Macaca mulatta: one gene and its partners. The protein of the gene in region 2 binds, or shares a complex with, the protein of the main gene of each other region. Links are inferred from orthologs where the notes say so. Each region holds a gene or a part of one and is shown on either strand. Other genes may lie near its edges.

Region 1 (4,694 bases), on a different chromosome or scaffold from region 2:
GTTGTCATTCACGTCCTCCTCGGTCCATGAGGTGCTCAGACGGCCGGTGCTGCAGCACTCCTCCTTGCTCAGTTCGGTCTTGTACAGGACCTGGCAGCGGCCGTTCTTCGCTTGACGGAGCCAGCAGTTCCCAGCTGTGAAGAGACGGGGTGGGGAGGTGGGTGAGTGAGCAGTGAGCGGTGAGCGGTAGCAAGGCAGGGAGAGCGAGGTGGCGAGGTGGCGAGCGAAGGAGACCTGGCGGGGATGGGGAGGGGGTGAGCGTGGAGGAGGGGAAGTGAGAGAGACGCGGGAGAAAAGTAGGAAATAAATCGAAAGGGGTGGAAGGGTGGATAAAGAAGCGGGGGGGGGGGTGGGGGAAGCCCTGATCACAGAGATGGGAGGTGGGCGAGAGGGAGGGAGGGAGAAAGGGAGAAGACAGGGCGCCCCAGCCATATCAATGTCAGTTACCAGTGACCCAGACACAACACGTGCAGCTTGCACTGACTTTTACTAGACTGTTTACTTTTATTCGTCCCATTTCATAACCTGCAGAGACTCGAAGAGCAGATTAAAGAACCTGACAAAAACAGGATGCGACGTATGTTTTTACATGTTGGTTTCATGTAGGCGGTACAGGAATTATTTGTGACAGGGGTTAAGAAAGTAAGAGAATGAGAGAGAGGAGAGGAGAGGAGAGAGATGGGGGCGGAGAGAGAGAGAGAAGGAAAGAGAAGAAAAGAAAGAGAAAGAAAGGAAGAAAAGAAAGAGAGAGAGAAAGAAAGAAAAGAAAGAAAGAGAGAGAGAGAAACAGATCAAGCAAAAGGCACTTCTGAAAAATGAAAGCAAAAAGCAACCCGGCCCAGCCCGGAGCTACCCCGCGCGGCCTCCAGGCGCAGCCCGCCCGACGGGCCCGTTTTGCAATCTGCCAGACCCGAGCACGCCCGCGGCCACCGCGATCTTTCGAAATCTCCGAGGGCTGCTTTCCTCTGCGCCTACGTCCGGGCACCAGGCAAAGCCTCTCCCCTAAAGGCGGGCAACCCAGCGCAGAGACTTGCAGACGGCGAGGGGCAGTGCCCAGGAGGGCAGTTTACAACATACTTAAAATGTTAACGCTGAAGCAGGGAAAGTAATGCCTTAAGGGGGGTGGGGGAGGAGGCTTCCTACCATTTCACGGTTATATGTACCTATCTCATACCTAGCAAGAAGTATTTGCAAGTGATTTCTCCCTCTTCCCCCTTTTTAATGTTCGCATTTGGGTCGGTAAGACTTCTCATTAATCACCAATAAGACTTTAACAATCATTGGATCGCAAGCTGCTATTATTATTTTAAACATTCTGCCCAAAGACTAATTGAAAATAAACAAATCTATTTTTAAAAGGCAAGCTTCAGAAATTTGCTCTTAACCCATTTCAGAATTTAAGTCAGTTATGGGCTGCTCACTGTTTTACAGAAAGCTAAGAGTCAGAAAGAAGAATGAAGCAGAGGGGAAAAAAACTCAAAGTGCTCAAAGCACTTTGGGGTAATAATTTGGCTTTTCTTTTTTCTTTCTTTTTTTTTTTGCGAGTATGGGGGATGGGGTTGGAAGAAGCATCCACTAGGCAGAAAGCTAATTCCCTTCAAAATTTTCAGCACCCACATTTCCAAGTTTGGGCAAAGTTTCTGAAACTACGTCCCCCAGTCACCAAAGAAATTCAGTATCTGTCCCCCAACCCCCCAGGTTTTCTTTTCTTTCTTTCTTTTTTCTTTTTCTTTCTTTCTTTTTTTTAAGTATCCAAAAGATGTGGCAGGGAGAGAGATGAGACTGCAAATGGGTCGACTGAAATCTCCAGGCTACTACTGATACTTGTTCTCCTTCTTCAGAGCCAAACTGAGGAGATCACATCTAAAGTTATCATGGCCAGAACTTTAGATCTGCCAGAGCATCTAACCCTAACTACTAAGACCCCAGCTCGCTCCCTTTCCTTTTTCAAGATAACCGAGCTCCAAACTCCGTTTCCAGTCCTAAAGTGTCTTTGCCCACAATTTTCCCACTCCTCTCCATCCCGTAGTCCCCAAGTTGGTCCAACATCTTCCGAGAGCAGCGTTGCTCAGAACAGACCAAGTGGAGACCACAGAAAAGTCGACCCTCTGCTCTCAGCCGAGCCTCCCCAGCGCATCCCCCCTCGCTTACCCTGGGCACTGCGGTCCTCCATGAACTGGCAGAGCAGTAGCAGCAGGAGGCAAAGCCCACCCGGCTGGTGCCTTGCGCGGACCATCCTGGGGGCAGGCGCGGGGCGAGGAGCGCTGCGGCGCGGGGAGCCGGCGCGGCGGCGGGTGGCTCGGAAGAGCGGCGCGCGTCGCAGAGGCCAGCGGCGGAGGGCGCAGCGATCCTGGCGCAGCCCCGCGCTCGCCGCCGGCCGCCCGCGCGATTCAATGGACGTCAGAAGCCGGGCGCAGCCGCGCTTTAAATCTAGACGGGGGTCTCCGCGGTTTGCGGTGGGCGGTCTCCCAGTGTGTGGGGCTGTGGGAGGGCGGCCGCGAGCGAGGGTGTGCGCGGCTCCTTGGGGGTGGGGAGCTTTTAAAAGTTCAGTGTGAATCAGGTGACATTTCCCACCTTCTGGAAACCCTTCCCAATTATCTTTCGGAGATGCCCGAAATCAAAACGGCTGGAGGGGAATCGGCGAGTTCTTATTTGCGTAGGAGCGAGAGGGAGGGGGAAGGCGACCGGGGCGGGGGTTGGGGGCGACGCGTCGGGGGTGGGGAGTGGGGAAGAACACCCACTTCAAGTCCTGCTCGCCGCCGCTCGCCGGCAGCGCCGGCGCGCCCGGGGTGGCGGGTGTGTGTGTGAGTGTGTGTGCGCGCGCGAGTGTGAGAGGGAGGGCGCGGTGGGGGCGCTGGAGGCGGCGGCGGGGGAAGCGGGGGAACCCGGGAGTTTGTCTCCGTGCTGCCTCTCCTCCGCTCCAAAGAGACTTTGCAAACGCCCGGAGAGCCCCAGGCTGCCCAAATATCCCGACCCAGGTCGGGTCGGAGCGCGTCGGCCTCGCGGCGGTTCCGGGCACCCGCAGCCTGGGCGCAGGACCCGCGAGGTTTTGTGTCTGCGTCTGTGCGTGCCTGACTTTGCGGCCACCCCTAGCCCAGAGGTGTTGCTAGGAACCCCGGCCCCGGCACCTTCCACCCTGGCAGAGCGCTGCCGAGACGCGGCCCTTGGTCTGGGAGAGTCAGAAGCAAACAAAAATGTTTAACACCTCAGGCCCGGTCTCCCCACCCCCCCCACCCCCGGCACAGCCTCGCCCTCTCCCTTTCTTTTCTCCCCTTTCACTTCGCGGCGTCTGGAGTCGGAGCCTGGAGCGGGGGCGCCGACGTAGGCGGTCTGGCCCCCCTCCTTCCTCCCCGGCCTGGAGACTCCCCAGTTTCTGTCCTGTGTGCCTCTGTCTGTCTCTCAGTCTCCTCGGCTCCAATCTCTCTCTCTCTCTCTCTCTCTCTCTCTCTCTCTCTCTCTCTCTCTCTCTCTCTCTCTCTCCCCCCTTCTCTCTTTTCGCAGAATAAAAAAGATTGCAACATCCATAATGAACTTCTGTAGCCTCACTTTATTAAGTACAGTGCCTGGCATTCTTCGCTGAAAGTTGGCGGGTCTCTCATTTATAACATTTTTGGCACCGCTGAATGAAACTGAGGAGGCGATATTTCCTTTTATATAAAACGATTACTTCACGGAAAATGCTATATTGTTTATTCCAAAGCTGCCTTTTAAATTTTTGTTCTTTTCGCTTCTGAAGCCCGAAGGCCAACAGACAGCGAAGTATGCAGACAAAATTCTTGGACATTCGCAGGTCACTGGGATTTGTTCTACGAATTTCAAATCCGCCCTTCTTCCCCCATCAACCCCCTGTAACTCCCCTCCCCCCGCAGACCCTCCCCCAGTCCTCCTCTCGCCCTCCCACCCCCCATCTTCCATCAACCTTCCCCCCTCCACAACTGCAAATAACTCAGTGATAACAGATTTTTTTCCACCAACTGCAGGAGATAGTGCTAATCTTTTAATAAAAGATCCCATTACAATGGGATCTGTCTGGACAGACTATAATAGATCCCGAAATACAGCCGTGCTAATATTAGAAGACAGTTGTTTGGGTGCCTCTCAGACGGGCCCAAGCCCCCCTTTGAAAGTGGGCATGAATCACAAAGCCCCGCGGCCGCCGCACCTGCACCGCGCGCATTCGGTGCAGCAGGCTGGTAAAAACGGGTGACCTCGCCGCCGCTTTTCGCTTTATAATTACCGTCGTGAGGACGGGAGGGGAGGGGGCTCGGGCGGCCCGGGAGAGGCTGTCTTTTTGCTCACTTCAGACGGCTGTGGGGGCTCCACATCCTTCTTAATCTTTCCGGAATCATTCTCTGTTTCTATCTCGCTGTCTCTTTCCCCTTCTCCCTTTCCCTCCAGTCCTCCCAGCCATTCCCTCCGGTCTCTTTCCCCTACTCCTTCCCCTCTTCTCTCCTTCCCTCCCTCTACCCGGACTCTACCCGTACTCTCCCTCCCTTTTCTCCCTCTCTTTCTTTTCCAGTCTCCTTTTCTCTCTTCCCTCCAACTCATTAATGTAGAGTTGTTTAGTGCCCTCTAATGGCAGACGACATTAACAATTAATAGCAAACTGTCCCCTTTGCAGGAGCCGCCACTCAATGGCGGAGTTCCAAAGCTGAATTTATTTCTTCTTCTTTATTCAGAGAAATGGTATAGTC
Region 2 (4,774 bases):
GGGGCCACATCTGTGTTGAATTGATCGGGCTGGTGGCAGGCAGCAGGTCAGGTTTAGTAGGCGGCGCTGGTGGGAGAGAGAGGTCACTGCACTATTTTCAGCAAATGCCCAACCCCCTCCCTGCACACCACCTCCCCTTCCCCCTACCCTAACCCCCCCCAACACACACACTCCCAACCATGGCTGGAAGGCCTAAGGGCAGGAGGTTGGGCTGAGAGGGCAGGGGCCTCTTGGTGTGGGGAGGAGAGAAACTCAGGGGCTGGGCTTGGCTCCCAGAAGGGCAGGGGGCTGGGTTCCCAGGATGAAGGCTCGGTGGGAGAGCCTGAGAGGGTAGAGGGAACTAGGGCAGGCAGAGCAGCCTAGGAGAGGTGGGGGCTGGGGTCCAGGGTTGAGGGCTGGGGGAGGGGAGGGAGGGGGAGGGGAACGGAGGCCATCTCTGCTGACAAACACCTCCCCCGATTAGCAGAGCACAAGTCTCTTATTAAAGCGGGTCCCTGGGGATTAGACTATAAAAGTCTCTTTTTCCTTTTCCCCTCTCTCCCTCCCCTCCCCTCCCCTCCACTCCCCCTCCCTCTCTTAAGAGCTCAGCTAGGCTCTTAAAGGGGACGTACAATACCTGGCCGGAGACCCAGTTCCCTACTTGCACAAGTCCTGGGGTGGCACCAGAGTGGAAGTTGGGATGGGATCCCACCAGCTAGTGTCCCCTCCCCACCCACCCAGGCCTCACCTGCACAGCCCAACTCATGTAGGCAGGGTCCCTTCATTTCGTGTATTCCCATTGCCAGAGCTAACTCTGGTGGGCTCGGGCCTGTTGGTTAAGGGATGCTAAGGATATTTAGGGGCAAGGGGAAGTCCACAGCCCCATCACCCATCCTGGAAATCTTCACACACACTACACCACATAGACTAGAGTATCTTTTCCCTCTGTAACCTTCATCTTCCAGCAAACTCTTGATCTGAATTCCTCTATAACTCTGTTTCCTAGAAACCCCACCCCCTACCCTCAGTCGATCTGAGACTGATCCTACTAGCTTCCATAAGCAGAAGCCTTAAGAATAGAAGGGAAACTGAGGAACCCGAGACCAGATCCCCATGCCTCCCACCCCCACAGCCAGTTAGTTTCCTGGTTCTTTGAGCTTAACAGCCCCGACCAAGTATTGTGGAATTGAGAGGTCTGCAGAAATACCAGGGGCAGTGTGAGGCACTCAGCCTCCCAGATGCACACCTGGGTTCCTGTGCCTCTCCCATGGGGGTGGGCCACTGGGACTCCCCTCAGCCCCCAGCTTTTTATGACCCATCTGCCAATAAACCAGTCTCCCCCGTCTTCTGTTCACAGCCATAAAACCAAACTCTGTGTGTGTTGCAGGGGGCTGTGGGAAGGGGGGAACCTTGCCAAACCACTAGGGAATAAGAGAGGCCTGGTTCCCTGTAGTTGGGGAGGGGGGAGACCTCAGTGGGGGAGGAGGAGAAGGAGTCACCTGACCCTAGGGAGAGCTGGAAAGGGCGGGGGTGGGGGGACGGGTGTAGTATTCGCCTGGATTTTCCAGGTCATAAAATTTCAAAGCAGCTCATGTCTATTATATATGTTCATCTTCCGTTTGGTCAGGGGCTCGGATGCCTGGGTTCCCGCTCCCCCATCTATTCTTTCTCTTTTTTCCTAGGTCTTCCTCTCTCTCAAGTCCAGCTGCGGTAGGGGCGGGCAAATAAGGGATGGAACACTAAGGTTTGAGTAGCCAATGAGTGTCCTTAGCCCCCAGCGCAATGGAGTTGAGTTCTCTGAGCTCGGTCAGTATCAAGAAGGCACAGCTTTTCCACCCCTTCGGATACCCGGTCTGAGACAAGGCTCAGGATGGAAAGGGTGCCAGCTGGGTTGCCAGGAGGTGTACAGGCTCTGGGACCCTATTCTTGGGAGAGAGCACACAGTTCTCTGCAGCCGAGTGGGCACGCTGCGAAAGGAGCACGGAGTGGGGAGTTAGCGCCAGGGCCACTGGGAGGCAGGGAGCACTGCAGTCCAGCTGGGGCTGCGGGGGTCCTGCAGCCTCCCGATTCTGTTCTCCAGCCTCCCAGCCACGGCTCTTCAGGACAGAGTCGCTGCCCAGCCCCAGCTTCCCCGGACTCCAACAACGGTCTTTTTCGCATACTGGGGGTGGAAGGCAGTATCTCGAAACCCGCCCCATTTCCCCCCGCCCCAACCTCCGGAAACTGGGCGTGCATACAACTTTGCAGCCCATCTCCATCGCTCGAAAAACTTCTATGAAGTAGCCCCCGCTCCCTAATTCGTCAAGTTTTCGCAGGAAAAGCTTCCGGGCCGGGGCAGCAGGGAGCGCCCCGCTTGGAGCAGAAGGCGCCCATCGCGGGGCCAGAGCCAGCACCCCACTGCTCGCGCCCCGCAGCCCACTTACTCTCCTGGGCCATGCTAATGACGGTCTCGGTGGTGGCGTGGTACTCGTCCTCCTCCAGGAAGTCCTCGGGCTGCAGCGCGTCGCCCTGGAAGTCGTGTAGGTCCAGGATCTGCTGCAGCGGCGGCGCCTTGGGCAGCAGCTGCTTCACCACCTCGCGGCTGATGTTGGGCGCCTCCTTGAGCCGCAGTTTGCTCAAGATCTGCGACTTGATGCTCTCTAGGCGCAGCTCGCGGCTGTGCTGCCGCCACACGCACACGGGGCAGCCGTCCGGCTCGGGCGCCACGGACGGGGCTGGCCGGCTAGAGCGCTCCCCCCCGACCCCCGCCGCTGCCGCCGCCGCCGCCGCCGCCGCCGCCGCCGCGGGGCCCTCGGCCGCCTCCCCCCGGGGCCGCAGCTCCAGGGCGAGGAGCAGGAAGCCCAGCAGCAGCGGGGCCGCGAGCACCATGCTGGAGGGGAGGGGAGGGAGGACTGGGGGGCGGGGACGCCGGAGTCCCGCGGGGAGGGGGCGGAGGGAGGAGGGAGGGAGGAGGAGGGGGTCCGGGCGGCGCGGGATTGGGGGCTGCCCGGCCGAGGGGGGACCCGGGGGGCCGGGGGCGGCGGGCGCGCGGGCGGGGCGGGCGGGCGGCCGGGGCGGGCGGCTGGGGGGGCCCGAGCCCGGGCCAGGCCCTTTATAGCCCCGGCCCCCGTGTCGTCAGCGGCCGCGATTGGCTGCGGAGCCAACAAAAGAGGCAGCGCTGTCATCCGAGGCGAGAGAGGGAGCCGGAGAGATCCGAGGAATAGAGAGAGGGAGGGAGTGAGGGAGCAAGGGCCAGAGAGAGATGAAGAGACAGAGATATGAGGGGGCGGGGGGGGGGCGGATATAGGGGAAAGTCAGAGCCAGAGAGACCAAGGAGAATCAGAGAGAAAAAGGGGGACGAGACAGAGATAGGAAAAGGAGGAGGAGGAGAGAGGGAGAGACAAAGGAGGAAAAGAAGAGTCAGGGGGAAGATGCAGAGGTGAGAGACTTAGCTAGAGAGGGAAATAGTGTGTCTGTGGGAGACACAGAACCAAGGAGGAGAAAGACTGGGACAACTAGTGGGAGAGTTAGAGTGGAGACAAAAATGGGGAGAAGAGGGGTACCACTAGACGGGGGGAGACAGAGGTCTACAGAGCCAGACCACAAGAGATCGGGGGTCATGGAGATGGGAACAGGGGCAGAGGAACACAGGACAGAGGAGTGCCCTGGGAAAGAGAGGTGGGGAGAGAAATCAGGATTGGGGAGGAGAGAGAGGGGCACAGACAGGGAGATACCAAGGGAGCCCCTGAGGAGGTAGGTGCAGGGGATTGGGGGTGGGGGAGAGGAAAGGCAGAAACTCCTGAGAGAAGGAGCCACAAGAGTCAGCCTCGGTGGGAGCACGGAGAGCCCAGGGGACAGAGGTGGAGAACTTGAGACCAGAGGAGCTCTAGCCATCAGAGGTAGCCCAAAGAAGATGCTCAAAGAAGCCGTGGAAGGAAGCATCAGGCTAGGCTCATCAGAGGGATTAAGGGGACTAGGAGAGGAAGAGGTCAGGGACAACCTAAGAAGGTGGAGAGGTGATGGGAAGAACTGAAACAGAGGGAAGACATAGAGCTGGGAAGACTGAGCTTGAAATTGGGGCTTAACAGGGCTAAGGGAGTCAGCTGGCTGGAAAAGGCAGGAGCTAGAGGCCACTGGGGGAGGGGTGGGAAGGAGATGGCTGGAGGCTGCTATACTTGAGGAGAAATCTGGATTTCTGGATTTCTAGCTATATCTTTGGATCTGCAGGGTCTGAGAAGTCTGAGAAGGGGATGGAGGTTGCAAGGGTGAGCATGGGAGAGAAGTCTGCGCTCAGATGCACGAGATGAAATACAGATGTGGGACCAGCCCTAGTCTTCAGGTGTGACCCTGGACACAGCCAGAGAGCAGAGTAGAACAGTACTAAGGTGAAAAACTGTTTTGAAGGTGCTTAACTTCTGACTTCAGGTTTTCCAGGCTTATTTCTGGATCTGAAAGCCCTGGAGCAATAGTCAAATCGAAAATGTTTGGGTCACGCTGGGTACGGTGGCTTATGCCTGTAATCCCAGCACTTTGGGAGGCCGAGGCGGGTGGATCACGAGGTGAGGGGATCGAGACCATCCTGGCTAACACAGTGAAACACTGTCTTTACTAAAAATACAAAAAATTGGACGGGCGTGGTGGCGGGCGCCTGTAGTCCCAACTGCTGGGGAGGCTGAGGCAGGGGAATGGCGTGAACCGGGGAGGCGGAGCTTGCAGTGACCTGAGATGGCAGATGGTGCCACTGCACTCCAGCCTGGGCGACAGAGAGACACTCCGTCTCAAAAAAAAAAAAAAAAAGAAAAAAGAAAATGTTTGA
Region 3 (4,255 bases), on a different chromosome or scaffold from region 2:
CTAAAGACAAAACGGAATAGGCCTAATTTAGATCTCTATATTCTCTGCTCTACTCTTCTGTACCTTTAGTACTGTTTGAGAGAAAACTTCAAAAGGGAAACAGGGACTCCACAGCTTCACATGCAGTGAACCGGAAATAAGACCTGAACAACATGCATATATTACAAGAGCTCGTAAGCTGCACAAGCTATAACGACACTGGCCTAGAAGACTCACTATCAAAAGCTGGCACATATGCACATGTGCACATTCACACACTTGGGATACAGCTGCCAGAACCCAACTCTTCATTGTATTCCCTGAAGTACCCAAGTTAAAAGCACTGTCTTTAGAGGTAGAGATAGGGCCTTTCCTTAATTATGGTCACGGTACTGAGTAATGAACACATGAATTCAGAATGTGAAACGCTTATACCTTTTCCTCAATTAACAAAAGAACTAAAACCAAGTATTATAAACACACAGTTTACTTACTCACAGGCACTACTCTCATGCCTAAGGTGGCATTAAGGATTTATAATGAATAGAAGGGAAACAGATGGCATTTTCTGCTATTATTCACCAGAAGATGGCTTCTGCCTAGATAGGTTTGTAGAGAATTCAGTACACAATGAACTATGACAGGTAAAGGAGGCCTTAAACTAAGTTTTGTACAATGTAGTCAACTGATAATGTATGTTAGATTTTTCTTCCAAGTATGTTTTCAATAAGAGCAACACTTGTCATTTGGACATAACTTCACAATTTACCAAGCGCTTTCATGCCAACATTTTGTCTTGCTTGAACTCACAACAACCCAATGATGTGCACAAAGCAGACTCCATCACTTTCATTTTAAAGATGAAATAACTCAAGCATGAGACATTGGTTAACTGCCCAAAGCTACAGAGCTAGCAAGCAATGCAGACAAGTTTTTGCAGGGTAAGTCATAAAAAGAGGGAGAGAAGCTTTCAGAGAACAGAGAGCTATGGTCCCTCATGGATCTAGAAATATATATATATATATATATAATGGAAACAGAATTATTCTGTTCTTTTTCATGTTTATCTCTTAAAAGGTTAATGAAGATATTCTTATTCAGTAATCAACTATCACCCACCCACCAATTCCTTTAATCAATTAGGTGGGCTTATTCCACTGTGGCAAGTGGCATGAGCTGCTCTCTTTCCGGAGTGTAAGTTTAGAAACAAGACAACAGGTCTGAGGCATTAATTCCAAATGATCTGAAGCCATCCTGATTTTCTGTGACTCTGGTCCTTGATTATCACAGTCTTGAGCAGGATTACTTCTAGAATGAACAAAATCTTTTTGAAGATCTGAACTGAGAATAAATGGGAAGTCCCAGGAAAGCTCTAAAATAACCTCCGTCCACCACTCCTGCCCAAAGACTATCACACCTTCAGTACTAAGATGGCTCCATCTAAGTCCGAACTCTCATTGTCTTCCTTACACAACTGTTTCAGGAATCCCTAAGCTTGCCTTCTGATCTGAGCTCCAGTGCAAGCCTGTATGTGTCCTAGTAGTCAAAGAGAGAGTTCTCTTATTGAATACATACGGCCAAATTCTACAGAAGAATAATTCAGGTAATAAAATCAGTTTCTTAAATGAATAGATATGCATACATAACAATATATATTCATTTCCTTAAAATAAATAGACATTTGTCATTATATGAGCTTTCTGCAACATTAGATGTGATTTTATGCTCAATTTCTGCTTTAATATTCCTTTAATATCACTCAGTTATAAAATTAGTGAATTTTTTTTTTGAGATGGAGTCTCACTCTATTGCCCAGGCTGGAGTGCAGTGGCACGATCTCAGCTAATTGCAACCTCCACCTCCCAGGTTCAGGCGAGTCTCCTGCCTCAGCCTCCCGAGTAGCTGGGACTACAGGCGCATGCCACTATGCCCGGCTAATTTTTTTGTATTCTTAGTAGAGATGGGGTTTCACCAAAATTAGTGAAATTTTCACTATATACGCTTTCCAAATTTTCACTTTATTCATGAATTTAGCCCTTATTTAAAGACGACTCATACTTTTCAAAGGATAGTATATCTCATTTAAAAGTCTTAACAAACCACTTGAAGTGTTTTTATCAGCAGTATGGGTTCCATATTTTTGATGAGGAAACAGAAGCCCAAAGAGGAAACATGTTTTAACCAAGGTTATACAGCCAATCAGCAACAAAACTTGCCTTGGAACCTAGATCTATTTATCCTTAGCCAAGTGTCAAATTCTAAAAACACAGGGGATAGGAGTGTTCCTCTCTTAATACTTTTCCAAACCATATACAAAAAAAAGTAGAAGATAACGCCCCTTCAGTTTAAACATGAAGCACTGCTATGCCAAAATCCACCTTGGGATGACTCTGACAATTAGCTCATCTACTTCTGATGCCACAAATATCAACAAATAGAACTGGGAAAAGCAAATCTCATTAGGGGCCAAAACTACATTAAATAAGAAGGTGATTAGACATTTTTCTGAAGTGAGAAAATGACGTAAGAGTTCATTAGTTTAATTTTAAAAAACCAGGCCTATACAAAAGACAATTTCATATAATGTTTAAAAAGCAAATAACCTTCACAATTCTGAATAAATTTTTATCATGCCTGTTTTCAAATATAAACATCAGGCTGCTAAACAATCCTGAATAGAACGGGTTAGTTGCAGATCATTTGAACATCTTTGAACTTCGGTTTCATCCATATGAGAATAATTGTTCTTATCCTTTCTACCTCACAGTGATGAAAAGCAAATTAGATCATACAAGTGAGAACGCTTTGAAATTTATACCACCGGAGCTGACTGACTTGCTTTATCAGTTAAAGTAAGTTCCAATCTATTTTAAACCAGCCACAGTCATATACACATCAAGCTTAAAGATTTTTATTAGTTTCAAACCTGGAATATTATTTATATTATCTCACATTCTAACAAGTTGGCTTATTAGCAAACTAATAAAATAAGTATCACTTAATTTTAAAAAGACGTCTTAGGAAAAAGGAGAAACAATTACATTACCTGAGCCAGAACCTGATGTTGTCATATCATAAATTAAGTCTTTCAACGTAGTACCCTCTGAAATAAAAGGACGATCTAATGAAGGGTCCTCTTCATTTGGCACTCGATGGTGAATGACAGTGCGGTTGTGGCAGATATACACCATCAACATGAGTGAGATGCAGACAAAGCACACTGGTCCAGCAATGACAGCTGCCAGTTCCACGGGACCAAGGCCAGGTGATGACTTTACTGAAAAAGGGCCTTGAGTGAAATAAACATCAACAACAACAAAAACACTGTAGGTGGCAACCCCCATTTTCCTAATCCTACACAATTGCTGCAGCTGGCCACTGCCACCACATAGCCAAAGAGCCTCATTACAGCAGTTTATAGGGCTCAAACCCAGAACAAGTGAATCATTCAGTCTTCTCCTACTAGGCCTCCTTTCATGCACACCAGCTCTGTCAGCACCCACTTACTCCTTCTGTACTCTTCAGCCATCATTACAAGGCCAGCTGCTACCAATATCATAGTACCTTCCCCACTTATCACATCAGGTCAGTAATACCAATAACTTGTAACAATACCCATTAACGTCTCCTTAAAAATCATATATATTTTTAAAAGTGTGTTTGACTTGTCTTCTTGTTCCAAGGCCAGTACATGCTCATAGCAGGAAAAACAAACAAAAATATCAAAACAAACAAACAAACACACACATACATCTTCATCACTCCCAAACAACTCACATTTTAGTATTTATATCTCCACCAATTTTTTTTTTTTTTTTTTTGAGACAGAGTTTCACTCTTGTTGCCCAGGTTGGAGTATAGTGGTATGATGTTGGCTCACTGCAACCTCCGCCTCCCGGGTTCAAGCAGTTCTCCTGCCTGAGCCTCTCAGGTAGCTGGGATTACAGGCATGTGCCACCATACCTGGTTAATTTTTGTATCTTAGTAGAGACAGGTTTCACCATGTTGCTCAAGGCTAGTCTCGAACTCCTGACCTCAAGTGATTCACTCACTTTGGCTTCCCAAAGTGCTGGGATTACAGGCATGAGCCGTGCCCAGCCAATAGCTCCACCAATTTTTTAAAGGCAGAACATATCTTTTTTTTTTTTTTTTTTAACAGAGTTTGCATACTTTTTATTCTATCTTAACCTGAACTTTTAAGTCCAGATCATTTTCTTGTAACTTCCATTAATAATTAAAATTTTCTGGTTGTTTCAGAAAATTACAATTATTCTGA

The links.
Region 1: the proteins of GDF11 (region 2) and FST are in contact, whole or in part, in a crystal structure (PDB 5JHW), measured with the Homo sapiens proteins. The link is inferred for Macaca mulatta from reciprocal best matches to the Homo sapiens genes GDF11 and FST. Residues at the interface, in NP_005802.1 of Homo sapiens: Asn299, Leu300, Gly301, Leu302, Glu310, Arg312, Asp328, Trp329, Ile331, Ala332, Lys334, Arg335, Tyr336, Lys337, Tyr347, Met348, Phe349, Met350, Pro354, His357, Gln361, Ile380, Asn381, Leu383, Phe385, Asp387, Lys388, Gln389, Gln390, Ile391; in NP_037541.1 of Homo sapiens: Leu34, Arg35, Gln43, Val44, Leu45, Tyr46, Lys47, Thr48, Arg60, Ser62, Asp72, Asn73, Leu75, Phe76, Met79, Ile80, Leu134, Asp135, Arg149, Gln153, Pro154, Glu155, Val180, Val181, Asp182, Gln183, Tyr188, Val190, Thr191, Asn193.
Region 3: the proteins of GDF11 (region 2) and TGFBR1 are in contact, whole or in part, in a crystal structure (PDB 6MAC), measured with the Homo sapiens proteins. The link is inferred for Macaca mulatta from reciprocal best matches to the Homo sapiens genes GDF11 and TGFBR1. Residues at the interface, in NP_005802.1 of Homo sapiens: Phe322, Ala324, Phe325, Gly326, Trp327, Trp329, Ile330, Met382, Tyr384, Phe385, Asn386, Asp387, Ile392, Ile396, Pro397, Met399; in NP_004603.1 of Homo sapiens: Ile78, Pro79, Asp81, Arg82, Phe84, Ala87, Pro88, Ser89, Ser90, Lys91.

The regions. Positions count from the first base shown.
Region 1 is NC_133411.1:61,272,799-61,277,492, reverse strand, and holds the start of FST (follistatin), read right to left. Parts: upstream 3,238-4,694; 5' UTR 2,237-3,237; coding exon 2,152-2,236; intron 135-2,151; coding exon 1-134. UniProt on the Homo sapiens protein: Multifunctional regulatory protein whose primary function is to antagonize members of the transforming growth factor beta (TGF-beta) superfamily including activin, myostatin, GDF11 or bone morphogenetic proteins (BMPs).
Region 2 is NC_133416.1:62,894,387-62,899,160, reverse strand, and holds the start of GDF11 (growth/differentiation factor 11), read right to left. Parts: upstream 3,043-4,774; 5' UTR 2,848-3,042; coding exon 2,403-2,847; intron 1-2,402. UniProt on the Homo sapiens protein: Secreted signal that acts globally to regulate anterior/posterior axial patterning during development. May play critical roles in patterning both mesodermal and neural tissues. It is required for proper vertebral patterning and orofacial development.
Region 3 is NC_133420.1:59,271,712-59,275,966, forward strand, and holds part of TGFBR1 (TGF-beta receptor type-1), read right to left. Parts: intron 3,269-4,255; coding exon 3,026-3,268; intron 1-3,025. UniProt on the Homo sapiens protein: Transmembrane serine/threonine kinase forming with the TGF-beta type II serine/threonine kinase receptor, TGFBR2, the non-promiscuous receptor for the TGF-beta cytokines TGFB1, TGFB2 and TGFB3.